Pelodiscus sinensis: one gene and its partners. Each later gene encodes a partner of the first gene's protein in a complex. Links are inferred from orthologs where the notes say so. Each region holds a gene or a part of one and is shown in the gene's direction. Other genes may lie near its edges.

Region 1 (7,193 bases):
ATGGTTACAACACTGCAAATAACTTCAAGCATGTGAGCAGTGGGACTACCTGTACTTAACTTAGTGTCCAAAATTTCCCCTTTTCCTAGACCGATTTTGCTAATTGTTTAAATAACATAACAAAATTCAGCCTTACACTCCACCCAATACATCTGAGGATGTTTCTGGGGTTCCCCTTCCCCTCTTTCTATCCCGAACCAGTTTTCTGTGCCCACTCTCACTTCCCAGAGTGGACTTAATGAGCTGCACTTTCCACAATGAGTCATGAGCAATCCGTATTTTCAAAGAAAGTCCCAATACTTGCTGACAGGGTGAGATGATAGAATAACTAAAGCCTGCCTAGTCTACCTTGAGGCAACAAGAACTCTATGGCCAGCCCCACCTCTCAGATCTATGGAGAGGAGCTTTCCCCATTGGACACACTTTGGAAAAGAAGTTTCTAAATATGAAAGTTGATAAAGATGGCAATCAAATTCAGTCCTGGTGTAAGCAAATGCAACTTCCAATGACATCAGCAGGCGTTACACTGGCTTACACTAGAACTGAATTTGGCTCTGTATTTCTAAGAAACCAGCCCTGTTCTGGCACGTATTTCCTTAATTCCTCCTAATGACTGTGTTTCAGTTTTGATCCATGTTGCCAGATAATGCAATGCAAACCTGCTGCCTTACAAGCCTAACAAGGACTTTTATTGACTTGGACCCTCCTGCTTAGATGATGCACGGCCACCAATGAACAAAGAGGAAAAGGTCTCAGCTTCTCTCCTCACCATAGCAACCAAGCACCTTATGCTCAATACTTTTCTGTTTCATAAGCTGGTTGTCATGGCAAATTATGTATGTCAGAGGGAAACAGGAAGCATTCTGTGTTCTCTAAAGAAAACAAAACACATTCTCAAACTTTATTTCTTATTAGTTCACTTTTTGCCACTCTGCAAGTGACCCTTAAGCTTTGGGGAGAGCCTTGCCAATGGTGTGGCCGCAGTCTTCTAAATGTGCTAAAGGTACCCATGATTATTAACTCTGATGCATCTGCAGGCGAGCTGGATTCCAGGAGCCTACGTTATCTGGGAAGAGAAGCAGCAAAATGGTATTGGGGAGTCTGGCATTTTCACCAGAGAGACCAGTTTTCTCCTCACCCTCTGGAGAACCAAATCCTGAAACCATGTGAGGCAAGAAACTGCACGGACCTTTTCTTCCGTCCCCGACCCTTGCAGATGCCTCGATTTCAGTTGCACAGAAGATGCCTATGCACACTACGAGAAGGGACCAAATGAACATGCGGTAGTCACAGGATGGAATCATGGAAATGAGCAATAATGTTCTGCTACCTAAAACAATCAATGTAGCTGGTAAGGGAGAACCCCCTGCTATCCTCTGGGTTCTAGCCCAGGCACAGTTTGAAACAGCTTAGCAACTGCTGCTTCCCAGGGCCACTTTCTTCTACCTTCATCTGCCTCGCAGCCCCTTTCACAGAGCAACTCACTCCAGTGCTTTGTTCCTAGAGAATCCATCTGCTTCCCAGCAGCTTACACTTGATGCAAAGCCATCCCCTTCTACTTGGTTCATAAGCTTTCATCCCAGGGATTCAGCTGCCACCCCACGCTGCAGATGTGTATAACTCTAACCTCTGAGATTTTCATCAGTTACACAGTTACCCAATTACCCACTTTTAAACTTCCCTAGTGGATCAGTGTTCAGTCATAGAAACTGCCATGAAGGCCCCCTGGTTGGCAGTCTAATTGTGACCAGGTCTACACTATGCAGTCACAGCTGTATAAGCAGGTCATGAAAAATCCATACCCCTGAGCGAGAGTTATATGGTCCCAGTCCCTGGTGTAGACAGCATTATGGCTCTCCTTTTGGTGCGTGTGATGGGCCCGCCGAGGCCCACACTAGGACCAACAAGACTCTGCCCACTCTATCAGCAAGAGGGTGGGGCGACACGATGCCAGGAAGCAGCAGCCAGCAGCTGCCGGAGCTGCGCGGATGGCAGAGGGCCATGGTGTGCGGGGGCGGGGCCCCAATACAAACCCGCGGTGCCCCAGAGCAGCGGGACGTTGAAGGGGCAGAGCAGCATCTGTTGGCGGCCAGCGGCGGGCCACTTGAAAAGTCCTGGAGAAGAGGGCAGCGGGGCGGTGCACAAAGTTGGAGGCACCTGTCGCCGCGCTGGGAGCAAAGTCTGCCACCCCAGTGGAGGAGCGGCCTGCATCCCCCGGAAGCTCGGTGCAGAGACCAAAGTGCCAGAGAAGCCGCTGGACAGGTAAGCCCCTTGGATGAACCCAGGGGGGGTCGGTACTCAGGAGGGGGATAGGAAGCAGCCTGGGGCAGAGTGCTTTAGGCGCCCGTGGGCGGCGCGCTTCAGGGTGGAACCCTGTCAGCTGGGTAGGGGTCAAACACGCTGAACCCTTAGGGCCCCGGGCTGGGACCCTGTGGAGAGGGAGGGCCTGGGTCCCCCTAAATCCCCTCCTCCCCCCACACTGCATTCTAATTGCGCATTGAGTACTGCCAGCCAATTGGCCTAGTGGACAGACTGTCATTACTGAGCCCCAAGAGGGGGCAGGACTTAGGGGCTGAGAGACCTCAGGGATTTCCCCTCCCCCTGACCTTTAAGACGGTGGGCTTGCTGGGCCCCACGCTCCTGCCGGCTCATGCCCTTAAGCCCGTCTTACGTGGGTAAACTGAGGTGGTGGGCTCGCAGGGCCCCGCCCTCCTGCCAGAGAGTAGGAGCTCGCGCCCGTAAATCTGCAACAGTATGGAACAGCTTCACTGAAGCACCGCTGCAGTGTTTTACGTGTATACCTTTTATTATGATGGGAGATGCCCAGGAGTGTCCTGATTTGGGAACAGAACAACTCTCTTGTTAGGGCCCTACCCTAGTTGTGGTCCATTTTGGTCAACTTCATGGTCATAAGGTTTAAGCAATCTAAATATCTGATATAACGAAATTTACAATATGAAATTTCATGGTGCTATAATTGTTGGGGTTCTAACTCATTAAGGCACTGGGGGTAGGGTCACAGAACTGCTACTTTTACTTCTGCACAGAGCTGGGTAGCTGCAGAGTGGCAGCTGCTGGCCAGGAGCCCAGGTCTGAAGGAAGAGCTGCACCAGCAGCAATGCAGAAAGATGGCATGACATTGCCACTCTTGCTTCTGCACTACTGCCTGCAGAATTGAGCCATGGGTCAGTAGCCACCACTCTCTGGCCACCCAGCTCTGAAGGCCGCAATGCAGATGTATGAGTGACATGGTATGGTATTGCGAACCTTACTTCAGTGCAGCTGCTGGCAAGGCGCTGCTTCCAAAGCTGGTCACCCAGCCAGCAGCCACCCAACACTCTGGCCACTCAGCTCTGCAGGCAGCATGGAAGTTAAGAGTGGCAAAACCACAATGCCTCGAAAATAACGTTGTGACCTCTCAGCAGCTTCCTTTGTATCAGGACCCCTATCTAATCTGCACCGTGAGATTTGCATAGTATAAGATAAAAGCACAGAAGAGACCAGATTTCATGGGGGGGGAACCAGACTTTATAGTCTGCGACATATTTTTCATGGTTGTGATTTTGAATTTGGTAGGACCCTACCTATTTCTAAATGCCCAGGCCCTTCATGTTCTGTGGCTAAACAAAACTCCATTCTCCAGGGTCTTCCAACAAGCCAGCACCTTTCCCCAGCACTCCATTCAAGTTGAAGAAAAGGGAAGGACAGAAGGAAGGATGCCTTGGTCCCAACCACGCTAAAGCCAGCCCTGGGGTAAATCAGCACAGCTCCACTGAAGTCAATGAGGTTGCTTGAGGGGTGAGGATATGGCCCCCCATATCTGTTTCCTTTAAGGAGTGGGCGAGAAGAGGTGGGAGATCAAAACTCATTCTTAAACAACGTTTGCCTAGGTGTGTCCAGCTGGACCATTTGTGTGCTCCTCGGCCTCTGATGCGTCGGGGGTGATTACAACTCACCCTTGGCGGAACAAGTCCCTGTTGCACCAGGTTATAAAGCATCGGTACCTCCCCGCGTCGCTGGACTCCACGGGCTGGCAACGAGGCGCTAAAAATAAAAGCCGAGGAGCAATTCCCCGCCCGCTGCCGCAGCTTCCCCATAACCCGCCCCGTGCCCCGGCCGAGGCGGCAGCAGGGGGCGGAGGAGAAAGGAGGCGCCGTTCGCCTCGGTGACTGACGCGGCCCGCAGCCCACCAGGAGGGTGGCTCCGCTCCCCGGGGCCCGGAGCGGCCTATCAGCGGCGGCGGGAGGCGGTGAGTGACGGCTGGGCGGGGAGCGGAGCCTGGGCGTGTGCCGCTCGCCGCTGCCGCTGCCGGGGCTCGCCCCTGGTGCACACACACACACACATTGTCCGAGCCGCCGCCGCCGCTGCAGCCCGCGAGCGCCCCAGTGCTCGGTGCCAATGCGGGGAGGGCGCTGCCAGCCGGGGGCTTCTCCACCACCCCGGTGGAAAGTTCGCCTGCTGCTGGGCCCGGCGCGCCGCTGACCCGCCGCCGGGAGGGAAGCAGGATCTGGCCGGGAGGGGGGATTTTTGTTTTGTTTTTGCCTTTTCCCTCCAAACTTTGTGTGCGCCGCTCCCGCAGAAGCCGCCCCCCCGCACTGAGGATTTGCCCCCTCCCCCGGCTCTCTGTCTCGCAAGGAAAGCAGCCTGGGCGGGCGCGCTGGTAAGTGCCCCCCGTCTCCTCCGCTTGGCGGGGCAGCGGGGTTGGCGGGTGGGCTGCCGAAGTGCGGGCAGGGGCGGTGGCGCTGGGCGCGGGGGGAGGAGGAAGTGTCTCTCGGCCCCCTTCCCTCCCCCGCCACCCCCCGGGAGTGCTGAGGGCGGCATTGCAGTGGCCTGGGCAGCGTGTGCCCGGGAGCATGTGTGCGCCGTAAGGGCTGGCGGCTGCAGTCCAGCATTGCAGAGCTGGCTTTGCCTGAGCAGGCGGCGGCGGCGGCTCGGCGGGTCGCTCGCTTGATCCTGCACCAGCTGTACTAGGAGGCTCCAAAGTGAGCTGGGAAGGGCAAACCGCCCCTCTCCGCAATGGGAAAGCGGCTGCCTGTTTTAAAAGTGTGTGTGTTGGGAGGGTGGGGTGCCTGCCAGGTGGGTGGCGAGCGAGCACTTGCATGGGGTGAGACGTGTGTTCACGGCTGTGCTTGTGAGAGGGGGCAGCCGCCAGGGGAGGGGTCACGTCTGTGAAGGGAAAAGCAAGACAACAGTGGGTGTGTCTGGGAAGGGATCTGAGCTGGGGTGAAAGAGCAGCTTTGGCCTTGGATGTGTCGGACGCTGCACCCCGCTGGAAGAAGGTAGTGAGGGGAGACGGAGAGCCACCTGTTAGAGTTTGTGTGTGTGTGGGGGGGGGACTGCATTTTTCTTCCTATATTTCTCTGAGTATTTACAAATGTGTACTCCCTACATCCGCCCGAAGCTTCCCCTTGATTTTCAGACCCTTTTGTTTCCTGCAAATCAGGCCCCAGCAGCTTGCTTGGGAGGCCACAGGGGCGGTTCTCATACCTCCAGATTTAAAAGCTTGTGCACTAGTATCGTGGCAGTCATGTTAACTAATGTGTGTCATCTGGTAATGGTAGAAATGTCTCCTCCTGTATGTCCCAGCCCAATGGCCCTCTAGTAGCTGTGGCATTCCACATCCCTCTGCACCTTTTGCACCAGGGAGCCAGTCGCCCTGAGATCTTAGGGTTGCTGATGACTTGTGTGCTTTCTTCTTAGCTTCCTTTCTGGTTGCCAAAATCTGGCAGGGTTTCCAAACGGGAAAGGAAGGGAGGGGGAGAATCACCTGCTGTCCTGCCCTCCCAGTCTTACAATGACTGTGCTTTCTGTAAACACTTCCTGCCAATCCAGAAAACATGGGGAAATACATGGGAGGGGCCCTGCATCCTCCAGGAGAAGGCAACAGCCTGCTGTCACGTTTCCTTTCCCTATTTTTTCCCCTGCCTCGCTCGTTTTTCATCCCTCCCAGATCCCTGGGTATCTCTCTACTGATGCCTGCAGTGATATCACTGTCGGCAGCAGCTTAGGGAGTGGTCTATGCTGATAGCACAGCAAGACTTCTAATAGCAGAGCCTGGGTGGTCACTGTTCTTTCAAGTCCTGTGCCATTGAATTGCTGCAGTAATAATAACTCCTCTGTCTGTCTTTCATTCCAGAGGAGGTCCTGCAGTCCTTTAAAAGGCAGGGGTTAAAACAGAATGCTGGGTTTTTTTGGGGGGTGGGACAGGAGAAAGAAATCTTTCAAGGATCCTTCTAGGGTGTGTCTTGCTTTCTAGCCTCAAGTGTTATGCCATGGCCACCCACAGGAAGAGGAGGGATGGACATAACTCCCCATGATATGTCACTTGGGAATAATGTCAGGGGAAACTCTTCAGAACCTTCTATAGCCTCAGGGTGAGGCTTCCTGTCTCTGCAGTTGGGAGGGAAAGCCATATGGAAGTCTGAGTGGGGATTAGCAAACTCCGAATGGCTGATGGTTAGCTCTTGAAATGCCTTGCACAGCATTTATACAGTACATCACTGTGGGGCGCACACTAGGGGGTAATGATGCTGAGATTTTCAAAGAAGCCTTTGAATTAGGTGCGAAACTCTCTTGGACCTGGCCTGCACTCAGTTGTTCCAGTTTAACCGCAGGGGTGCTTTTAAACTGACTGAAAAAGGTGCGAACACTTGAGTTGGAAGGATAGGACATTCCTTGTATTGGGCTGAGCTTATTATAAATGAATTTTGCTTGTGTTGGTAAATTTTACAGGTGAGCTAAATTGATGTAACCTATTCTAAATTGGTAGAAGTGTGTCCACAAAGGGTCTGCCATGGTGTAACTAAGTAGTTGTTAAGAGAGCTTTAGCCTCCTTTGAAAATCATAGCCTAAATGTGCAAGAAAATTATGCAAAGAGGAGGGCTGGCTGGCTCCAGGGGTTGGAGATGCGATGCAGATCTTTTATATCTGTAAGAGCTTGTCTACACTGGGATTTTAGCCAGGGATGTTGTACTGCTTCAACAATCCCATCCCAGCATAGATGCATTGCACTTGTTTAAATGCAGTGGTTGCAGCAGATGAGGTCATAGAGTTTAAGGCCAGAAGGGAACACTAGATCATCTAGACCAGGGGTGGGGAGCCTTTTTTGAGTCAGGGGCCACTGACCCAGAGAGAAATCAGTAGGAAGGTCGCACACAAGTGAGAAGCAGAACAAAATACCCCTGTGGGCCCCC
Region 2 (7,924 bases), on another chromosome or scaffold:
CATCTTTGGCTCGAACTATTATGAACAATTCTACTGTATCAGCTAGGCAATGCCTTCAACTTCTAGACTACATGTCACCCAATGACTTATGTTTTAGACTAGGCAGGCTGCACATGTGCTGCCTTCAAACATTGATGTGCATATGCTTTAAACCTCACAAGCACCATTTACAGACATCTCTTAAGTGTCCCCAAAAGGGTAAAGCAGTCACTATATTGGTTTTTACAGCCTCAGAACCTATGTATGGGAGTACCATTCCAACAGAGGCATCCTTCAGTCACAATTACTATGGACACCTCTCTAGAAAGATGGGGCATGCATCTGGAAACTTAACTGGAAGTCCACAGGAGGTAAACATTTATCTGTCATTGTACCATGAAAAATCTTCCTCCTATAAATTACTGTTTCCATGTGGAAAACCACAGTATCCAGGGATGATGGTCCCTAACAGACAGAGCACAATACATCAATGTACTAGAGCTTTGAGTGGTCAGACAAGCATGTGAACATTCCTCCTGTTGATTTGCAACAAAGTAGTAAGAATCCTCACAGATAGCAGTGCATGCATGTTTTATATAAACTGTCAAGAAGGTGCGAGATCATACCACCTATCCAAAGAAGTCATAGCACTGTGGCATTGGTGCATGAAGAACCAGGTAGAGTTCTTACTAGGTTCGGAGTTTTAACATCTCTCTGTGGTAGAGAAGGAACTGAGGGACAGTTGATGATGTGTGTGCGCTGGCCCATCACTACGCAGCAAGATGGCACCACACATGCGTGTCAGCACTCGGGATACCACTGCTAAATATATCTGACTTTAAGTGCAGGGGCGCCAAAACACCTGTAGTGGAGCATCCACAGGGACGCCCATCTTGAAGAACACCAGTTACTGCACAAGGTAACCTCTTTTTTCCTGTCCTGCTATATGGGGAGGTGACTTGTATATGTAAGTGGTCATTTCAGACTTCCTGCAACCGAGTGGTGCCCAACGCACGACTCTTTATGAGGTGTCTTCAGGATTGGCTCCGAACCCAATACAAATCACACATTCATTCAATGACCAAAAGACTAACACTTCCATGCTCAGTCAAGGCATCTCTAAAGTGGTGGACAAGAACGTCCAACCTAAGCATAGGCATACCCTTCCAATCCACAGAACTGACAATAGTCATCAACACAGATGCATCACTCACGGGCTGAGGCGCTCACATGGAAGGAAGAATAGCTCAGGGCCTATAGTCTGCTGCAGAGCGTGCTCTACATGTCAATATTTTAGAACTCGGAGCTATCTGCCTGGCATGCCAAAAATTGCTCCCTCAAGTCAAAGGGATACACGTCTGCATTTACACGGACAATATGGCATGCATGGTCAATATAAACTGCCAAGGCGAAGCATGAGTACAGCCTCTGTGCAAAGAAGCCATAGCCCTTTGGAACTGGGCATTAGCGCGAGATATCTGTGTATCTGCTTTCCATCTGCCTGGCACACTCAATACGACAGCAGGTGCCCTAAGCAAAGCCCTTCCCCAGGAACATGAATGGGAGCTGGACCAGACAATCCTGAAGAAAATATTCAATCAATGGGGTTTCCCCTACATAGATCTGTTTGCCACCAGAACCAACAGAAAATGCATGATGTATTGCTCCTGAGCAGGCATAGGGAAACAGTCCTTAGGGGACGCTTTGATTCTAACATGGAGTGCACACCTGCTATATGCATTTTCCCCATTTCTCCTCCTAAACAGAGTCATTATAAAGATATGGAGGGACAAAGCAAAGATCATCCTTATAGCCCCATGTTGGCAATGCCAACCTTGGTTTCCCCTATTACTCAGGATGACACAAAGCCATCCAATCACGCTACTGCAAGTCCCACACATTTTCCATCACCCACAAATCAGGACACTTCACCCTCAACTCCTCATGCTTCAGTTGAAAGTGTGGCATCTCAATAGTTCACTAGCATAGAGCTCCACTGTTCTCAGCAAGTCCGTGAGGTCCTCCTGCACAGCAGAGCTCCTGCAACAAGGAAAACATACATCAGTAAATGGACCTGTTTTACACATTGGGCCAGCAAGCGCAACATATTGCTGCAAATCTCCCCACTCCCTGTAATTCTGGAATACTTATTGCACCTAAAACAGTCTCACCTCTCGTTAGCCTCAATTAGAGTGCACTTAGCAGCAATAACTACATTCCATGCACCAGTGGATGACGCCACTTTATTTGCGCACCCCACAACCAAACGCTTTCTGAAGGGTCTACAAGCCTTATGCCCTGATGTGTTACCCCCACAAGAACCATGGGACCGTCATCTAGTATTAAGAGCACTAACAAAACCGCTCTTTGAACCTATGGCCACATGTGCCTTGTGCCACTTAATGCTGAAAACGGCTTTCCTAGTGGCAGTTACCTCAGCACTGAGAGTAAGTGAACTGGCCGTGCTCATGTCCGATCCATCCTTTACCATCTTTCTCAAAGAAAGAGTGTCTATGCATCTGCACCCCAAATTCTTACCTAAGATCTGTACAGCTTTTCACATCAACCAGACAATACACTTACCTGTGTTTTTCCCAAAGCCTCATGCCAATGCCTTTGAAGCACAGATGTACACTCTGGATGTCAAAAGAGCTCTCTCCTTCTACATAGACAGGACAAAGCCGTTCAGATCTTCCCCACAGCTGTTTGTTTCCATTGTGAACCGTACCATGGGGAAGAAAAGATCACAGAGACTATCCCAATGGATATCGGAATGCATCACCACATAATATTTGCTTAATAACTTACCTCCACCTGCTTCAATCTGGGCGCACGCTATAAAAGCAGTTGCAACCTCGGTAGCATACCTGAGGAAAGTTCCACTGGAGGACATTTGCGCAGTGGCAACATGGTCCTCGGATCACATCTTTGCAAAGCGTTATTCGTTTGCTTCAGGTCCTCTACTACATACTAGACTAGCAAAAGGTGTCCTGCAGACAGCATGCTTACCAGATCTGAAGTCCCTACCTCCTTAACATGGATTGCTTGTAGTCGCCTTCTGTGGAGCACCCTTGAAAAAGAAGAGGAGGTTACTCACCTTCTGTAACTGACATTCTTCAAGATGAATGCCCCAGGGGTGCTCCACTACCCTCCCTTCCTCCCCTCTACTTTGGAAACTCAAAAAAAAGAAAAAAAGAAAAACTGCAAACACGTAAATAACACTCCTTCTCCGGGTTCTGGATAGAGAAGGGACTGAGGAGGGAAGGGGGCCACGTGTGCGCATGCGCGACCCCCTGATGCACTACTAGGCAAAACTCCATCCAGAGGTGCTAAGATGCTCAACACCTTCTGTGGAGCACCCCCAGGGAAGCTCATCTCGAAGAATGTCAATTACAGGAGGTGAATAACCTCCTCTTTTTTTCCTGCTTCAGCATATTAACAACTTTGTTTCCTTCAGACCAAGCTCTCTTTAAAACAAAACAGGGCCACTTTTCCTTTTTTTACACCCACAGTGTGCTTTTACATACAACCCATGTAAAAGCAGTTGCATGGATATGTGAATGGTTCAGAAAGCCTGTCTGCTGGTGCTGCTTGTACTGTAACTGGGCTTAGTCACTTCTGATGTAGGCAGTTAACTTTTGCATAACTCTCCCTACATTTTGTTAGTAAATGCACAACTGAAGTAACTGCAGAGCCCAGGTTATTCCTTTGAAGGTTTGTTGTAATGTGATCTTTTCCAGATGGTAAAGAGTCTCAAAGAGATTTTGGTATGTCCGTATGCACTTCTTGGGAGAGACAGCACAGGGAAAAAAAGGGGGGGGAGGGGAGAGGTGTAAATTACCTTTTCAGCCTTCCTATTCTGGGCTGTTTTAAGGAATGGTATGTTCCCCCATGTAACCTGGAGCAGTCCGCAGGTTTACTTTCACTGATGTCAGCCTTGCCAGGCATGCCTAAAGGCTTTGCCTCAGCCCTACCCCTTGTAGAGATTAGCATTATATACAGACTGTCCTCACTGTAAGTCCAAGATACGTTCCAAAAAACGTGGACTTATAGTGAAACAATTTAAAGTGGGGAATTTTTTTCCCACTGCTGACTTCCATTTAAGCAAATTGGGGGGAGTGTTTCACATGACTTATAGCGGGGAATGAGAGGACTAATAGTGCATCAGTTCCTACAAATGTCAATGACTTTAGTATGGAACTGATGTATACCGGGGGTGACTTATAGTGGGGATGCCCTGTACTCCTATTTATCTTCCTCCTATGTTAGGAGCTGCAGGAGGTTGCTGCATGGTGCTTTTATGACAACTCCTGCACTGGAGGAATTCTACCTTGACCATATGAGGCTACTCTGTGAACCCTATATGCCTCTAGAGTTGTACATAGGATTTCTTGTTCCCCCATTAAAAGTATAGATTTTGAGTAATTGTTTGTGAAGTATCCGCTTTCTCCCTAAACAGTGTTCCCCTTTGTAGATCTGAAATACCATTATGGAGGGTCAGTAGAAAAGGATATCTGTTGTTATTAGCAGGGCAGCCTGCAGCATGGAAGTGCACAGGGAGACTGTATTTCCAGTAATCAACTGAAATCATGCCTTTGTGATACAGTTCTGACAGTAGAATTTGACCCATAATGTGTACAGGATAATTCTTCTGAAAATGTTCAACAGTGTTTAACAGCTTATTTAACAGTTCCTAATTTTGGGGAAATCTCTCTCTCTCTCTTGTTTGGAGTTATCAGTTTGCAGTGTATCAGTGACTTCATATTCTGGACTAGTAAAGAATTACTAGTTGAAATCAGCAAAAATAGTTTAAATGCTAAATCTCTTCAAAAAATTTTACTTTGCAAGAATGCATGTAATACCATAAGTCTGAAACAGTGCTTTCAAATAAATTTAACAATACATCATTTAATTTGCAGAAATGTAAACATTAGCAAACATGCAAGTTGCAGTATGTTTCAGCAGTATGATATATTCCAGATTTTCTTTGTGTGTGTTTTTTTAAATAATGAATTAAACTGGGTGATAAGAGCAATAGGTTTCACAGAAACTAAAGAGGTGAGGCAGCACCATGTGAAATTCTGCAAAGGGATTAAGATTTGGCACTGCACTCCTTTTCTCTGCAGGCTCTTAGGCATAGCCTCTGTAGACGAGAACAGACTGTCATCTTGTATAGCCGAATGCTATTTGCTTGTTTTGGATGTTTGTTTTATTCCAGTTTCCATTCTATTGCGTTGTTTTTAGTACAAGTTGGTATGATATGGATGCTGTGGACTACAACAGAAAAAGGTACCGTTTATATAGTATCTAATACCAAAAAGTTTTTCTTATTTTATGAAATGCAGGAGGACCTTTCTTGTGTAGACAGTAGAAAGCAATGTTGCAGCATTTTATATCAATGCATTTTTCACTTTGACATGCTTCTATTTTTTAGTCACTGTTTACTAATCCCTGCAGATAAAAAAAATAATACTCTCATAATGTCTGCATTAACTCTTTCTAATTAAAATTGTGCACACACAATTGTCTATAGGTTTCCTAGCTTGTTGCTGGTCAATTCACTTTAAAGAATCTTGCAGTATTTAATAAAGTGATAAAACTGTGATGAAATTCTGACTGCTTATGTTACTGGTTCCTAGAGTGTTTCATTCTAAATATATGAACAGTGTAATTGCTCAACTTGCCTTGTCTTGACTTTTTTGTTTTGTTTTGGTAAAGAAAATTCTTGCACTTAGCCACCGTTCATGATGTCAACATTGAAAAAACCTCAGCAAACATTTTACTGATATTTAGAAGTAAATGTTAGTTAATAAAGCAATAGGAGTTTTGTAATAGATGCATGGTGTTCATTGGAAAATGCATAAAATCCATAAAGTGAATACGTGGAATGTGCTTATGTCTGTATTCAATCAAATTATATATAAAAAGTAAAAGCACAAATAATGGGACTGATCCTGCACTCAGTGTTGTCAGTAGATGAGACTTTAATAAGAACAGCATCAGGACCTATGCTGGGTTATTAAGTATTTCTTTTTGTATGCTGAAAACAGGTTTCTGTTTATATCTTCCAATATATACTTGTAACATTAAAAACATAATGGCACTTAGCTGCCTGTTAGTTAATCAAAGTGCAAGCATTATTTCCTTTTCATTGCTTTTTGTTGTAGTTAAACTCATTGAATAAAACTTGAAAATTGTGTTTATGTTCAATATACTTGGCTAACCTCTTAAAGTACTGTATTTCAGGAATTTAAACTATGAACACTACTTTTGACTTGGCTCAGACAATTTGCTTTGGTTAATAAGGAATCGTGTTACCTATCATTTTAAATATTGTGATAAAAATATTAAAAGTGAAGTAGGTAGTGACGACTGATTCTCATTTTCATTGCTATATCAATGGGGTCACGCTGTAGTAGAGTCTTCTAGTACAGTTTAACTTTAGACAGGAAGCTTACTAATTGTGCTAACATCATGTAGGCTGCAAAAGTGCTGGAACTAGTGTGGGGAAGGGTGGGAGGGTGTGCTGCCGCATCCCCAGCTTGAAGTAGTTTGGGAGGATCAATGACTCTCAGCGTCCTGATTATACAGATTGTTCTAGCACCCCGGTAGGCTTGGAATCCTATGATAAAACTTGGTGACCTTAAGAATAGGGCTCAGATATTGACACGTTCCTTGGTATAACTATGCAGTAGTAAAAACAAAGAGGCAATCAAATAACAAAACAACTTCATACTGGAATTTACATAAATAATGTATTTTAATAGCTAAATTGGGGTATGTCTACACTAGCTCATTAGTTCAAGCTAGGTAGGGTAATTAGGGCAAGCGGAGTTGCAAATGAAGCCCGGGATTTAAATATCCTGGGCTTCGTTTGCATGTTCCTGGGTGCCGCCATTTTAAAATCCCCCTTAGTCCGAACTCCGTGCCCACGGCTACACGCGGCATGGAGTAGGTAGTTGGAATTAAAGATCCTAATTCGAACTACCGTTTCTCCTCATGAAATTTGTGTTCTTAGCCTACAAGATTTCTATATATAAAATAGCTTGGGTATGTCTACACTGCCACCCTAGTTTGAACTAGAGTGGCTAATGTAGGCATTCGAAGTTGCAAATGAAGCCCGGGATTTAAATATCCCGGGCTTCATTTGCATCTTGCCAGGCACCGCCATTTTTAAATCCCCGTTAGTGCAGACTCCGTGCCCGCGGCTACACGCGGCACAGAGTAGGTAGTTCGAATTAGGCTCTCTAATTTGAACTACCGTTACTCCTCGTGGGCTTCATTTGAAACTTCGAATGCCTACATTAGCCACCCTAGTTCGAACTAGGATAGCAGTGTAGACATACCCTTGGTGTTTAATGACACTTGTATTAATGATACTTGTACAATTGACTGAACGTTGCATCTTTGTGTTCAGTGGTAATTGATTGTTCTCGGTTGTCTATTTATAAAGCCAAGGAATGTAAAATACATTTTGTGGGACAACTGTACAATAGTAAAGAACACTGGAATCAACAGAAGCTCTGCACAATTAAGAGTAGAGTCTTCCAGTTATTTTGGTCATTAATGTGATGAACCTACAAAAGGGATTCCATTCTAATTCTGCTTAGGTTCATATACTTCTCTCATCAGTGTTACATAGTAGATAAGGCTGTTTCTGGGTTCCTGTTAATTCCCAGAGTCATGCTTCTGGAGCAGAATTAAGGTTGGTTGTGTGATCTTAACAGTGTATTTTCAAATATCAGAGTGCTTAGGACTCTATAAAATGGAACTTTAACCTTGAATTTCCAGGCAACTATTTATGTTTTTATAAAAAAATAATTGACAAGGATTCACTGGAAAATGACAATGTATTAAACATGAATTATGGAGTAAACAATTTTTAGCTTGGCATTTACTTTATTTGAAAATGGTTCAGTCACCTACTAGCATTTCCTCCTCCCTG
Region 3 (7,181 bases), on another chromosome or scaffold:
TTCTCATTCATTGTCAAAATGCCAACTCCCACCTTGCCCACTGACACCAGCCTCCATTGTCCACTTGTTACATTTTCAAACAAGCACCTTTGTGCCTTTGACAGTGCTGCCCCTCACACTTACAAGAATCTCCCTGCAAACATCCACAAAGCTACCGCATTGATCTCCAGAAACTCACCTTCACCATGACGCCTGCAAAAATGGACAGCAGTTACACCATCGGCAGTCTGAAACCAGTCGGTCATAATTAATAATATGCTTTTATTCCCCATATGTTTTTATCCCTCTGTTGTCTCGTTTTCTGTTTTGATTGTAAGCTCTTGGGGGCTAGGATTGCCTTTTATTGTGTTTGTTCAGCACCAATCATAACAAGGTTGTGATCAATGACTAGTGAACATGGCTGCTATGGTAGTACAAATAAACAATATGTGCCAACTATTCGTGTACAAACTATAGTAATTACAATTAGTGTTTTTCAGTTACAGTTACATAGGTAGAAAGTTTGAAGGAACAATAGCTCATTATATTTGAGGTGACCTATAACTCAAACTGTTGGGCTAGATAAACTGGCTTTTGGCCTGCAAATTGCTGGTTGTATTGTGAAAATTTAGATGAAAATTAGTCAAAGTTAGAAGAGGAATAAAAGTGGATTCATAATGTAATCTGCTTGCCCCGTAAACTATAGAGAAACTGTATGTATGGCAGGGTTATTAAAAATCAACAGGTATTTACATCAGGCCACACAGGTTAGTAAAGATGGGAATAGAACCCAAGTCTCTTTTCAGAAACCTACAAATTAATCTGAAAGAAGATCTATCAGATGAATAGCCTTTATTATTTGTATTATATTTTTCCTGTGTTTGAAACTATTAGATACCGTTTGTGATATTTTTCAACTTGGTTTTCCTATTTAAATAATTTTATTTGAATTTTGCAGCAGTTAGTGTAGCATAATTAATTCTAATATTTATTAAAATAATTTTAGATGCCATAACATTTTACTATTATTTATTGTCACTTTTAAAATATTACACAAAATATATTCCAGTGCACATTAGTAAATAAATTATCCTTGTAATAGCTAGTGCATTTTTAATTATAAATTTATCCATGTCTCCCTTTATTTATGATAGTGATTCTCTGTACTGCAGTACAGTATACCTTTGAGACACTGTAAATTACACATTCATGGACATTGCATTTCACAAAATATACCAGGAATCTGATTTTTGAACATGCTTAATATTATTATTATTAGCAGCTAATAATGATAATAGCAACTAATGTGAGCATTGGCACTCAGTGCAAACTGACCCATAAACTGCAGTGCCAATGTCCACCTTTTGGAGGAGATTGCATTCTGTACATAGAATCAATGAGACACAATAGGCTGTATTGTATGGCTTGTGTGCACTTAGGTCTGTCAAAATGGATCGCACCGAAAAGCAAATTATTCCCAGCAATGTCCATTTCTTCCAGTTAAAGGCTGGCAGGCACGACTTAAGTAGTTATCACTTGTGGAATAGTTTCTCAAAGAAAGTGATGAAAGCTGCCACTCGGGACATTTAAAACTCGTCTGCACCAAGTCATGGAGAAAAGGCTGTAATTCACTGTACAATTATGTGCATTGAAGATGTACAGAGGTTCTAACTCATATAGCACATAAAAATCCAGCACCTCTTTGGGGTGGGTCTCCTTGAACTCATTGTGTCCTGTGCATTGATCCCCATACTAACTCCTTGTACAGTTTTATTGCCAATTGAAGATAATTGTCCTAATAAAGCTATCAAATATTCAGGACCAGCTTGATCATCAAATATATCATTCATTCATTATACCATCATGCCTGGGCTACACTTAAAAATGTTGTAGGTAGAACTATATTGATTAGGAGTGTGAAACCACCCAAAGGTGCTGACATCCCTTCTAGCCAGGCGGTGCTAGATCTCCCCTGTGCTTCAGGCCCTGCTCCCAGTCCCACTCCTTTGCCCATATCCCTGCCCCACCTCTTCCGGGCTCCACTCCACCTTCCCCCCTGAGTGCACCTGGTTTCTTGCTCCTCCCTTGCCCTCCCAGCTCATCTTAAACTGCAAATCAGCTGTTCACAGGAAAGTGAAGGGAGGAATTGGTCAGCGGGCCACTGCATAGTAAAAAATAAAAGCTGTAATAAGTCAATTTCAATTGTAAAACTTTGAAAGAACCATAAATGTTTTTTTCAGAGTTAGGAATAACTTCCATTCCCAAGGTGTTCAAGAACTCAAGTTCTATAGTAATCTGTTTGCTGGTACAGCTTATTTCAGTTGATGAACCAATACCAGCCCCCCCAAAAATATTGTCTGTGCAAGTTGTGTTTTCACTTGTTCTGCCCTTTTTAGGCTATACAAGGGGTAGCTGTCTGCACTTCTCTGAAACAACAGATCCCACAAAGCACAAAATGAAGCACATGAAAGCCAGAGACTAAAGGGTATAAAATGAGTTCAGATTGGCCTGCTCTCCTTTAGAGAGTCTGACCATGTTTGGGACACATTGCAAAACCATCCTCTTTTATAAGTTTTGCTACAATGACCAAGATTAATGTGTGGCAGAAAGGAACAACCAAAGTGTATCAACAGAAAGTTAACTAAGTGCATGCATAATTTACATGGGAAATAGTGACCAATTACAGTGACGAGCACTATAGAAAACCCCAGCATGAATTCTACATTGGCCTGCTAAACCCAGGGTTGTGAGTTCAATCCTTGTAGAGGCCATTTAGGGATTTGGGCAAAAATTTGTCAGGGGTGGTACTTGGTCCTGCTGTGAAGGCAGGGGACTGGACTCAATGACCTTTCAAGGTCCCTTCCAGTTCTAGGAGATAGGCAATCTCCATTATTAAGAATACCTTTCCCCTTGAAACATCTGATCCTGGTCATTGTTTGGAGGCAAAGTACTGAACCAAGTAAATCCCTGGTCTACTGTAGGTTAGCAACTTGTGTCCCCGAGAAACAGGTAGGCTATGTCTATACTGTGCCTGTTTTGTGCAAGAAATATGCAAATGAGGCTGTATAAAATATTGCTGAGCCTCATTTGCATAATTAACAAGGCTCCATTTTTGCACAAGGGGCTTTTGCAGAAGAGCCGTTCTTCCTGAAAAAATGAGGAAGAATGGCTCTTGCGCAAAAACCTCTTGTGCAAAAATGGAGCCTTGTAAATTATGCAAATGAGGCTCAGCAATATTCTAGACAGCCTCATTTGCATATTTCTTGCACAAAACAGGCGCAGTATAGACATAGCCATATTGAAATAACCCAGTATGAGAAATCTGGGATGCAAATTTATCTTAATTACACTATTTTCTTGGCTGCATTTGTTGGGTCTTTCTTATGTCATACCTCTTATATTGGCCAAACTGGTCAGTCTCTATGACAAAGGATAAATGGACACAAATCATACCTCAGAAATGGCAACACACTTAACCTGTAGGGGAACATTTTAACTTGCCAGGTCACTCATTCATCGATTTAAAAAGTAGCCATTGTTCTACAACGGAATTTCACTAAGCAATTACAGAGAAACCAGTAGTCCTGCGCAGGGATGTAAGTGACAAGGGGTGAGGCTAGATGGCCCTGTGGTCTGACCCAGTACGGCCGCTCTTGTGCACCCTGGCTAGTAGCCAACTCCCCGGTGAGCCTGGCTTACTGGACAGCTGGGTCACTATTCGACTGCTCGCTTCCCACCTTGCTGCCTCCGCAACAGAGGCAGCAAAGGGGGCGGGGCAGCAGGGGCTGGGGCAGCTTAAAAGCCAGTCCCCCCCCCCGCCCCGTCTCCTCAGAGGGGGGGGCGTGAGCCGGGGCTGCTCAGTGCGGGCTGGGCCCTGGCCCCCACCAGTCCGGAGCGCCGGGCCGGCGGGGGGGGCGGGGCCCTGTGCTCGCGCGGGACCTGACGCCGCAGCCGTTGGCCTCGAGAGCCGCAGGCCGCCCCGCTGTTTTCCGTTACGCGCGGAGGGGGCGGGGCCTGCGCGGCGGCTAGTTACTCGTTGGCCGAGTGGCCCCCGCGCATCGCTCCGCGGTCTGAGGCACCCGAACGAGGCGCCTTGGCCAGGGCGGGGGCGCGGCGCGGCCACGTTCCGCGCGCATGCGCAGAGTGCAACGTCTACCCCCCCCCCCCGAGGCCAACGGCGTTTGGCCCCGGCTTTGCTGTCTCCGTCACTTCCGCTCGGAGGTTGTGTTTCCGGGTTAGCGGGGGCCATACCGCTAGCTGGCGTCGGCAGAGCCTTCTGCGGCCCCGGAAGCGGCCCCGCCGGTGGGGCAGGAAACGGCCCCGGCCCCGCAGGAGGGCAGCGCCCGCCAGGCCTGTAAGTGGGGACGGGCCCCGCCGCGCCGCGCGCCCGGCCCCTCACGCTGGGCAGAGCGGGGTCGCCCCTGGCCGGACCAGGAGCCCGCCCCCCCGCCAGGCCGAGGCGCGGAGGGAAGCCCCGGGGGCCTGTTCCCGGCGAGCAGCGCTGAGCCCCCCCCCCCCCCCCCCCCCCCCGCCCGCCCGCCCACAGGGAGTTGGCACCAACCGCCGCTTCCGCCTCCTCGCGCCGGCGGCCCGTGAGCGGGGATGGCACGTGGCCGCCCGGCCCGGGCGTGAGGCTGAGACCGAGCCACAAACAGCCGCTCGCTGCCGACCGACAGAGCTGCGAGACGTAGCGCAGCGAGCCTCGTGCCGAATAGCGATCGAGATGCAGCCGGGTTAGTCTGGTGCAGCTGAGACACAAGGCAGGACTGGGCAGCACTTCAAAGACTCACAAGATGGTTTATTAGGTGAGGAGCTTTCGTGGGCCAGACCCACTTCCTCAGAGCAAATAGTGGGTCTGGCCCACGAAAGCTCATCACCTAATAAACCATCTTGTTAGTCTTTAAAGTGCTGCATAGTCCTGTCTTTTGTTCGAACCACGTGTTGTTGCCGAAAGGCGGTAACTACTAGAACCCTTAGCATGCCTGTTAGGGCACAGTTCTGTTGCTAACTCATAACATTGTGTGGGTGACAATGGGGCGTCAGCTCCTGTGACTTAGAGATTCTTCTGTAGAATCGTACATGTGCTCTGCCTAAAAGTCTTACTAAATGCAAGAAACCGTTATTCTGCCTTTAGGGTTTTTGAGAGACTTATGTCCACATATCAGAATCCTGTACATATGCAATTAGTGTGGTCTATTTAGAGAGCTTTATGGATGTGTCGCGTTATAGTTTATAAAGCCTACTTAATGCTCGCCAATCCTTTTGCAAGATTTCATGGTAATGGCACAAATAAGTAGAGTAAATGGACAGTAAGCTATAGTTGGGATAAACAGTGTAGATCCAGTGGGCTTCTAAGAAGTGATTTGAAAGGGGAAAATTTGTGAAGATTTGGTGGGACATGATTGAAAAAAAGGACTCGGGTGCATTATAGAACTTGAGAAACTGTTGGCAGGCTTTGGTTTAGATCAGGTGTGGACAATAAAATAGCAGCATTTCCGCAGCATTAGCCCCCTTTGAGCCGCTGACACTGTATTTACCTCACTTTCACAGGTATGGGGGGGGGGTCATGATTCCCATTAGTTGGGAACGGTGATCGGCGGCCAACAGATGCGGTGCTCCTCCATATCTGTGCAGGTAAATATGGCGGTTACAGCGGTGTGGGAGCCCGCCAGGTGCTGACTCTGACAGACTGGATCCAGCCGGTGGGCTGGTATTTGCCCATCCCTGGTTTAGATACTGAGTTTCTGATTCCCATAAGGAAGTACAATGGACCTGATATCCTGGGATAATACTGTAATGTATTCCATTGGGTTCTGCTATTGCACTCTCGTATTAACATATCCTGTTGTGTGAGCTACTTTGATTTGGATCACCCAACCCCCTCTAAGATGTTACCCTGGCAGTTCAGGGTGCTTGCAGTGTAACCATTAAAAGTGATGATACTCTGTGTATTTGCTGGTCCCTTGCCTTGTTTTCTGACACCCATGAGAAGGGGTTGCCAGAAAACTGCAGTGCTCACGTACTGTGGGAATTTCAGTATGGGAGAGGGTGTGGTATATTTTCTATTAAGACGAAGATAAGGTTTGAAATTAATCTTATTAAAATAAGCACTAATTGGTTGTCATCTTGGCCAGGAATATTATAGGCCTGGATGCCCCAAATGGTTCATCATGTGGTTTAGTTTACAGACAGTTGTCAAGTAGACTATTTTCAGTTTAGCTCACCTTTTATTTAGGTCCTGTCAATACTAAGGATGTTAGTGTGTACTCGTTTACATGATTAACCAATAAGGCTGGGCTCATTGGTTAATCCTAACAGTTACCTGCAGTCCCCCAGTGGTGCCTCTGTATCAGAGACAGTGGGGGCAGGGTGGAGGGCGAGAGCCACTTCCCGTAAGGAGCTGGCTCCTGCAGAACCGCCTCCCCCCGCTGCCCAGAGAGGCAGCAGCGCAGAGAGGAAGGTGGGAGGCAGTGCTTCGTGGGACCTGGCTTAAAAGCTGGCTCCGCATAAGCACCAGCTCCCTCAGACCTGCCTGCCTCTCATAGAATCATAGAGCTGGAAGAGATCTCAGGAGGTCATCAAGTCCAACTCCCTGCCCAAGGCAGGACCAATCCCAACTAAATCAACCCTGCCAGGGTTTTGTCAAGCCGAGACTTAAAAACCTCTAGGGATGGAGATTCCACCACCTCCCTAGGTAACCCATCCCAGTACTTCACTGCCCTCCTAGTGAAATAATTTCTTCCTAATATCCAACCTAGACCTCCCCCACTGTAACTTGAGACTATTGCTCCGTCCCTACTGTGAAACAGCCTTTCTCCATCCTCTTGGGAACGATGATAGAGAGGCAGCAGTGCTGGGAGTGGGAGGTGGCACATGGGAACTGGTATATGCGGGAAGCCTTCTTTCAAGTCAGCTGCCTGTGTGTACTGTCTCCCAGGGAGCCACCGGTCACCCATGCTGCTGCCCCTCTAACAGAGGCAGTGGGGGTGGGGTGAGGAGCAAGGGGGAGCATGTGGGAGCCGGTTTAAAAAGCGACGCCTGCCTGCCCCCACATGTATACTAGTAACAGCTAAAAAATTCAGCAATTACACATTTATTTTTATAAACCTGTAATCGATGAATGTTTAACATCTCTAGTCAATACACAGGCTGGAACTAAAATAACTACATTGGTTGTAATTAAAACTGTCCCCATTATTTTA
Region 4 (7,286 bases), on another chromosome or scaffold:
TACAGATGTCACATAAAAATCCACCATCTGAGGGCATTATACACTCTTTTTGGATCCTACACTTTTCTTGTAATGTCTGGATACATTGATTCTCGAAGTGTTTGAGACCCTGTACAATAGTTTGCTACCAGAACAATCTTCCTGAGCTATGATTTCTAGGTCATTGGGAGATATGCCACATGACTTCATGTTGGCCTTTATAATGCTTATATTGACCACCAATAGAGCACTTTCCGTGAACAAGCTGGCCGTAGAAGATTATTTTTGGTATGTATGTATCATCCATCCTCATAACCTCAGCAATGCAGCCCATGGCACCACACAGCTTAAGGACCTCTGTGTTAGGAATTTCGTCCCACCAATTCACATGGACAATCTTCCTGAAACTGCGCATAAGAAATTGATCAAGTTTCAAAATGTGATAGCTATGTATGATCTATGACTCTGAGCCATACATCAGGAAGTTCAGGACAACTGCCTGATAAACTGTTACCTTTGTATGAATTTTAACACCATGGCCATTCCATAATCAGTTGGTCAATCTTCTGAAGGCAGCGCTGGTTTTGGCTAGTTGAACAGATACATCAGCAGCAGCATTAATGCTGGAGAATGGTATGCTTCCAGGCTAACAAAACTTGTCAACAACCTAAGGACAGTATCAGCAGCAGTGATCGTAGGAGGGCTGGGCTCTTTCTGAAGAGACACTGAGACATAATCTCAATCTTTTGGAGTCTCACAGTGAGTCCAAAATGGTGAGCAGAAGTAACAAAAGGATCAAAATCTCCTGTGAGTTCTCCACTGGATGAGCCAACAATCCACAGTCATCAGAAAGAAGGTCACAGATAGTTGAATTGAACACTTTGGTATCTTTGGTGCCTGAAGTCTTTCAAAGCTGAACATGCTTCTGTCAGTTAGGAACTGCATAGGTATGCCCAACGTGCAATCCTTGAAAGCAACTAATAGCATAATCAAAAAGTAGATGCTGGGAAGGAGAGGAGCAAGGATGCTGGGAAGGAGAGGAGCTGGGAAGGAGAGGAGCAAGATCCTTGCTTTGTGCCATGTTATATTTCAAAAGGTGCTGATGTCTATCCATTATTAAGGATATGACCCAGCATAACATCATAAAAGGACCAAATTATACTGACAAATTTTTCAGGACAGCCAATTTGCCCAAGTACCTTTCAAAATCCATTTGTGTTGGCCATGTCAAACGCCTTGGTCAGGTAAATGAAAATCACTAAGAGATTATGATGTTGCTGTCTTCTTAGATCTGCTTGACTGTGAATATCATGTTGGCAGTGCCTTGACTGGCACAATATCCACACTGACTTTCAGGAATAATGCCATTTGTGAACACATGTAATGACAGATGGTTGTAGAGGATGCGGGCCAGGATCATAACATCTATAGACAGCAGTGAGATGCCCTGGAGGATATCACAGCAGGCACGGTCACCTTTTCTCTTGTATATTTGTACAATCAAGGCATCTTTGAAGTCCTGGGGGCCTTGCTCTTTCTGCCAAATAGTGATAAATAAATGGGTGAGATGGCATCAGCAGGCCTCTACCAGCTTTATAAATCTCTGATGGGAGCACATCACTGCCGGGTGCTTTTCCAGATTTCATCTGCTTGACAGCTTTCTGTACCTCATCAAGAGTTGGAGGTATAACCAGCTGTGAATCATTAGCTCACTGAGGAATCTTTTCAACCTCTGTGAACTGGCTGATACAAGATGTATTTTGCTTAAGGCTGTGACATCGATGTTATAATGTACAAGCTCTCTACCAATGATTGCTGTCCTGTGTTCATGGTGATCATCACTGTCAAGAAGTATGCATATATTCCATGAGGCAAAGTGTAGTGTCTGTTTAGTCATTGATTTTCTCCTGTGATTGCAAAATTGGATATCATTCGGTCCTGGCTAACCGACAGGAATCCACTGGAACAAGCTGTGGTTAGGAATTGTTTTCTCTCCCCCTCTTCTTTTGAAGAAAGCAGCTCTGTCCCTAAATAGGGTTGCTTTGTCACCTAGGCAGGGTATGGGAGCTGCTGCTGTTCCTTTTCAGCAGACAGATGATCATCACATCGAGGCCATCTATGTGCATGTTTGTGGCTAGATGGTTCCAGTTGTATCCTATACCTGCTTCCGCTATCACTTACCTACCGCTGGAGGGCTTTCAATAACAAGAGGTAAATCTTTAGCAGCAAGAGATATACTTTCACATATGGATAGGTTTACAAAACAAATTACATTTCATTAAAAAAAAAAGATCATTTCCAATGTTAAGTGAGGCTGGCTTGTGAGTTCGAACCTCACTCCCTCTTCTCATATTGGTGCACAACAAGCACTGCATTAGCTTAGGTATATGACTTTGGATCCCCATCCACCAAACCTATGTACACATATAGTAGGCAGAGGTGAAAGTAAGCAGATGTGCTCTAGTGCAGCGTGCCAGTAAGAAAGTGTTGAGCGGAGGGTTGGGCCTTAATCCTTTTCTCCCCTCCCCCCCACACCCAAAGTTGAAGCTGGCAGCAGGGACCCTGGGGCTAGAAGCCAGAAGAGCCCCCAGGAGGGGGACAGCAGAGATCAGAGAGCTGCTTGGCAGCAGGGCCGGTGGCTAGAGTGCCCCTAGTGAGAGGGGTGCAGGGCCAGCGGCCTGGAAATCCCCTGGTGAGGGTGACAGGACCAGTGGTAGGGGGAGACACACCAAGTGGCCTGGACTCCAGGTGCTGGGCCAGGATCCCAGGGGAGCTTCAGCACTCTACTCAGCCTTATCTCCTTCCGATGCCCAACACTGCTCCAATTTGGCTGGGAACAGGAGCAGCATAGTGCACAGTCACCAGTGGGGACTGCCTCATCACTGAGCCTACACACACACACATCCCAGCCCCTGCACCGAACCTCCCTCCCTGCCAGCTTTCTGCCCTGATTTCTGCACTTCCATTCCCTAATCTTGTGCCCTGAGCCCCTCATTCACCCCAACTATGACTCCTGCACCTCCCACATGTCAACCCTCTGACCTGAGCCTCCTGCACTCCATCCCACACTTACATTTCCTACAGGTGGTGTGGTACCACCACCATCCCCTGTCCTGAGCTCAGGCCCCCAAGGGGAAGGATTGTAATATGACACTATGATAAGTTACTATAGAGAACTTTCTGGGTGTCTGGCTGGTGAGTCTTGCCCACATGCTCAGGGTTTAGCTGATCGCCATATTTGGGGTCGGGAAGGAATTTTCCTCCAGGGTAGATTGGCAGAGACCCTGGAGGTTTTTCGCCTTCCTCTGTAGCATGGGGCACAGATCACAGCTGGAGGATTCTCTGCATATTGGGGCCTTCAAAGTATTTGAAGGCTTCAATATTTGAGACATAGGTGAGAGGATTATTCTAAGAGGGGTGGGTGAGATTCTGTGGCCTGCACTGTGCAGGGGGTCAGACTAGATTATCATAATGGTCCCTTCTGACCTTAAAGTCTATAAGCCATATGAGTCAGTATCTGTAAGAAATGTAAGTTATTTTCTCTGGATAATAGGTTCTGCATCACCAAGCCAGGTCACTTGTAAGTACTTCTGGTAAGTACTGAGTGTGGGTCAGAGGCACAAGTGTGGACATAACAGCATAGAAATGGAAAGTGCAGTGCTCCTCCCCTGCTTTAAAAGCATTAGAAAAAAAGATTCCTGATTCCTATCAGGTTCAGTTAAATTTAACCCACAAACTCAGAATACCATCAAAACAAGACAAGTGTGTTGATTCTACTAGTTCACAAATAAAATAGATCAAACAACACAATCTAACAAAATCTGTACCCCACGTCCTAGAACAAAAAAAGCAGTACAAAAAAACCTCTCCCTGGATTTCAGGATTTGGGCTACATCTGTTTATGGTTTGAATGCCCCCAGTTTTGCTTGATGCATCTGCAGCTTTTCTTAGTTCAAGAGACTAATCGGGATCGCAGGGTATGCTAGTGCAAAGGCGCTGCAAAAACATACATCTGGCAAGTGAATCCAACAGGACCCCAGCCAGTTGTTCTGAAGTGCTATGGCGAGGGGGTTGGGGGGAAAGATCGCAGTACCGGTGTGAGATGCAATCGGCCTGGCGCCAAACGTTCTTTATTTAGGCACTGTAAATTGGTGGGTTGGGAACAGTCAGGGTGTGGGCGGTGCGCTGGGCTTGCTCTCTTCTTTGACACTGCAACCCGCCCCTGTGCTCATATTCTTGGTAGCTTCAGCTCTTCCTTTCCCACCCACGCGCGGCCCTTGCAAAGCTCCAGGTGAACCCAGCTCTGAGCCCGGCCGCTCCCTGAGTCAGAGCCGGCGGCAGGAACCGCGGGAGCGCGCGCGGGCTCAGCCAACCCCCTCCTCGCGGCGGGCGGTCCCCGGGCGCATGCGCACTGTGGCGGGAGCCGCTCGCCAGTTCCCCTGCCTCCCCCAGCCCAGCCTGGCCCCTGCCCGTGCCGAAGCTGCGCTCGCTGCGGGCGGGCGGGGTGAGTCTCCGCGGGAGCCGCTCCCCTCCCGGCCGCAGGGCGATGAGGCAGCCGCTCCGGGGCCCTGCCGCGCTGCCCTGAATCCAGCCCCCGCCCAGCCGGGTATTGTTCGCGGCCGCCGCCGGGGAAGTTCGCTCGTCCCGGTCCCGGCTCCGCTCCCCGCTGGGGCGGGGCGGGGGGTCTCGGCCCCTCGGTCGCCTCCTCCCCGGCGTGCGGAGGGGGCGAGGCTCACCATGATGGCGGCCGAGGCCGGAGGCGAGGAGGGCGGCTCGGCGAGCGCCGCCGGGGAGCCGGGGCACTGCCCTGCCCTGTGCCGGGGCAAGGGGCCGCAGGGCTCCGGCGGGGGCAGCCCGGGCGGCAGCGGCCCCCCTTTGTGCCCGGCGCTGGGACTCCTGGTCCTGGGGCCTGCCCCTCCGGCGGGCGGAGGCGCCGCAGTGGCCGCCGGGCAGGGGCAGGAGATGCCTCGGGGGGCGCTTGCCCCGCAGGAACCCGGCTCAACAGGCGGGCCGCCCGCTGGGGGCTTCCCGCCGCTGCCGCCCCCGCCGCTGCCGCTGGTCGGGGGGCTGGGCACCGTGGATGAAGGCGACTCGCTGGACGGGCCGGAGTACGAAGAGGAGGAGGTGGCCATCCCGCTCAACGCGCCCCCGACTAACCAGTGAGTAGCAGCCCCCTCTGCTCCCGGCCGCCCTGCTTTGCTGCCCCTCCGTGGGGGGCGGCAGCCGGCTCGGTGGCGACTCTAGCTCCCGTCCCTCCCCTTTGCCCGGTGGAAAGTGTGTGTCAAACTCCGGCCAGGCCCTGAAAGGTTTGCCCCCGCCCCCGAGATCCCATTTAAATAGACTCAGTTGCTTGCATGGAAAGTGCTGAAGTATTGGCACTGAGGGCTCCTTGGTCTGTGTTTCCGTCTGGGGTGGATCCTCAGACTGGACAGCAGAGCCACCAATTGCAACAGCGTGCGCTTGACTTGCATGGACTAACGCACATAAGAATGGCCATATCGGGTCCAGTGTCAGATGCTTCAAGAGGGAATGAAGAGAATAGGACAGTTGTAGCAATCCATCCCCTCTGTCCAGTCCCAGTATTTGACAATCCGAGGCTTAGAGACAACCAGGGCACTGGAAAATTTGAAACGCTACTGGGCTCCAAGCAGCATTAAATGCCTGCAGTATTCCCTCTAATGTGTTCCATCTGTGTGCAGAATAAACTTTATGTGCAGTTGTGCATCACCAGTAGAAAAACATGCTGCCAGCTGTGAGTACTCTGCTAATCAGTTGGGTGGCACATGAATCTTTCCTGTGTTGCCCCCCAAGAGCTCGGTTTACAGGGAATACTGGATGCTAGTGTGTGTCTTGTCTGTCACCTACTGCTGAGTCATATATTACTGATCGGTGTATGTATGTGTACTCTTCGAGGGTCCCTTGTGTGCCTTGCAGTTTCCATTTCCTCCAAGTACCACAGAACCATAAAAACATAAAATCTTTTATTTTTATAGTCCCATGTTTAAAATGAACAAAGAAATCCTTCAGGGATTTAGAGAAAACAGTCAGACTTAAACACTACCTATCTAATTTAGTTTTTTGGGTTTTCAGTACTTACTACTGTGGATTTTCACATGGTAAATAGTGTCACAAAAGGAGTGGAAAGCTCAGATTATTAAATTTTCCCTTTGGAAACTTTATCAATTTTTGACATCGTTATCCATTTTCATACTCTTCCAAAACATAATAGTAAGTAGCTATTGTCAAATATAGATATGATTTTTATGATTCTTGGTAGGAAAATTAAGCCGTCTTTAGACTTTCTGAAACTTAAAGCTTTCATATGCGTACTGCGTGGAATAACATTTTATAGATTGTACTTTAAAAAAATTGATAAAATGTCTTACCCAATAATTTTAATGCTATTTAATTTCCATAAACAATGAATTTAATAGCATGGTGTACAGCTGATTTTAAAGGTGTTTGTGTTCAGTTGGATTGTGTGAAAATTAATGGGAATTGAGTCAAAGCATTGGTAGGTGTTTTACAGTAAGGTTTCTTTATGATTGTCTTTCCATTAACTTAATAAGCATTCCCTTGTTGATAGTATTACAGGAAAACTTAAAGCTGTTATGCAGGACAATTGTTGTATTTTATATATATTATAGAGCTGATGCTGTGCAGCATTTGTGTGTACAATTACTGATAAATATAGATACGAGAAGTTGAGATGCACTAATAACACTAGTAAGGTGTGTAAGGGTTTACATAATACAGTTTCAAGGTTTATGGTAGGAAAGAAAATTGCACTCAAGTGTGTCTGATTATTGTCCCAGAAACAAAATTGTGTTTTAAGTTGGTATTTAGAAATCAAGCATTAACTAAGTTAAAATGAAGTTTTATATTTCAGATAAATTAGGGCTATAAGGCGTAAAAATAGCTATGAATTTACATTACAGATTGTTGCTAGTAATGTTTATCCAAGAATGTTCTAATGTTGTCTTGACAGTTTTTTTTTTGACATCTTTTAATATCTGAGCTATTACTAGTTAAACCTCATGAGTTCTAGTGTCTTTCTTTTTCCAGGATTCAGGATGATTTTTGCATAAGTACACAGGCATAACTATTATATAAGAAGGAGGGTGTAGAGTTTAATATAAACCATATTTTTCACACAATTTAATTTTATCAGTCTTTTCAGTGATGGATGGATGTAAATATGTATGTATCTATTTAATGACTTTATTGTAACAGTTCCTAAACATCAGGATCTCATTGTTCTAGGAACTGTAAAAGCACATAGTGAGACAGTCCTGGTCACAAAACGA

Evidence for each region.
Region 2: the proteins of HRAS (region 1) and PLCE1 are in contact, whole or in part, in a crystal structure (PDB 2C5L), measured with the Homo sapiens proteins. The link is inferred for Pelodiscus sinensis from reciprocal best matches to the Homo sapiens genes HRAS and PLCE1. Residues at the interface, in NP_001123914.1 of Homo sapiens: Ile24, Gln25, His27, Val29, Glu31, Asp33, Ile36, Glu37, Asp38, Ser39, Tyr40, Arg41, Glu63, Tyr64; in NP_057425.3 of Homo sapiens: Phe2138, Pro2146, Glu2147, Gln2148, Pro2149, Arg2150, Thr2151, Val2152, Ile2153, Lys2154, Lys2171, Tyr2174, Ser2175.
Region 3: the proteins of HRAS (region 1) and MAPKAP1 are in contact, whole or in part, in a crystal structure (PDB 7VV8), measured with the Homo sapiens proteins. The link is inferred for Pelodiscus sinensis from reciprocal best matches to the Homo sapiens genes HRAS and MAPKAP1. Residues at the interface, in NP_001123914.1 of Homo sapiens: Gln25, Asp33, Ile36, Glu37, Asp38, Ser39, Tyr40, Arg41, Leu56, Glu63, Tyr64, Met67; in NP_001006618.1 of Homo sapiens: Glu277, Ser278, Phe280, Ala286, His287, Gly288, Phe289, Ser290, Leu291, Ile292, Gln293, Arg311, Arg312, Lys313.
Region 4: the proteins of HRAS (region 1) and RASA1 are in contact, whole or in part, in a crystal structure (PDB 8BOS), measured with the Homo sapiens proteins. The link is inferred for Pelodiscus sinensis from reciprocal best matches to the Homo sapiens genes HRAS and RASA1. Residues at the interface, in NP_001123914.1 of Homo sapiens: Gly12, Gly13, Ser17, Ile21, Gln25, Asp30, Glu31, Tyr32, Asp33, Pro34, Thr35, Ile36, Glu37, Asp38, Ser39, Tyr40, Arg41, Gln61, Glu62, Glu63, Tyr64, Ala66, Met67, Lys88, Lys117; in NP_002881.1 of Homo sapiens: Gly746, Arg749, Glu783, Thr785, Thr786, Arg789, Ala790, Thr791, Glu799, Lys803, Ser833, Arg894, Gly898, Phe901, Leu902, Arg903, Cys906, Pro907, Leu910, Asn911, Met914, Arg928, Ile931, Ala934, Lys935, Gln938, Asn939, Asn942, Val944, Ala948.

What each region holds. Positions count from the first base shown.
Region 1 is NC_134714.1:121,452,208-121,459,400, forward strand, and holds the start of HRAS (GTPase HRas), read left to right. Parts: upstream 1-4,177; 5' UTR 4,178-4,249; intron 4,250-4,297; exon of another isoform or gene 4,298-4,660; intron 4,661-7,193. UniProt on the Homo sapiens protein: Involved in the activation of Ras protein signal transduction. Ras proteins bind GDP/GTP and possess intrinsic GTPase activity.
Region 2 is NC_134718.1:41,466,628-41,474,551, reverse strand, and holds the start of PLCE1 (1-phosphatidylinositol 4,5-bisphosphate phosphodiesterase epsilon-1), read left to right. Parts: upstream 1-4,917; 5' UTR 4,918-4,932; coding exon 4,933-5,222; intron 5,223-7,924. UniProt on the Homo sapiens protein: The production of the second messenger molecules diacylglycerol (DAG) and inositol 1,4,5-trisphosphate (IP3) is mediated by activated phosphatidylinositol-specific phospholipase C enzymes.
Region 3 is NC_134732.1:25,319,218-25,326,398, reverse strand, and holds the start of MAPKAP1 (target of rapamycin complex 2 subunit MAPKAP1), read left to right. Parts: upstream 1-4,177; 5' UTR 4,178-4,333; intron 4,334-4,612; exon of another isoform or gene 4,613-4,712; intron 4,713-4,907; exon of another isoform or gene 4,908-5,613; intron 5,614-7,181. UniProt on the Homo sapiens protein: Component of the mechanistic target of rapamycin complex 2 (mTORC2), which transduces signals from growth factors to pathways involved in proliferation, cytoskeletal organization, lipogenesis and anabolic output.
Region 4 is NC_134716.1:76,468,549-76,475,834, reverse strand, and holds the start of RASA1 (ras GTPase-activating protein 1), read left to right. Parts: upstream 1-4,282; 5' UTR 4,283-4,383; coding exon 4,384-5,138; intron 5,139-7,286. UniProt on the Homo sapiens protein: Inhibitory regulator of the Ras-cyclic AMP pathway. Stimulates the GTPase of normal but not oncogenic Ras p21; this stimulation may be further increased in the presence of NCK1.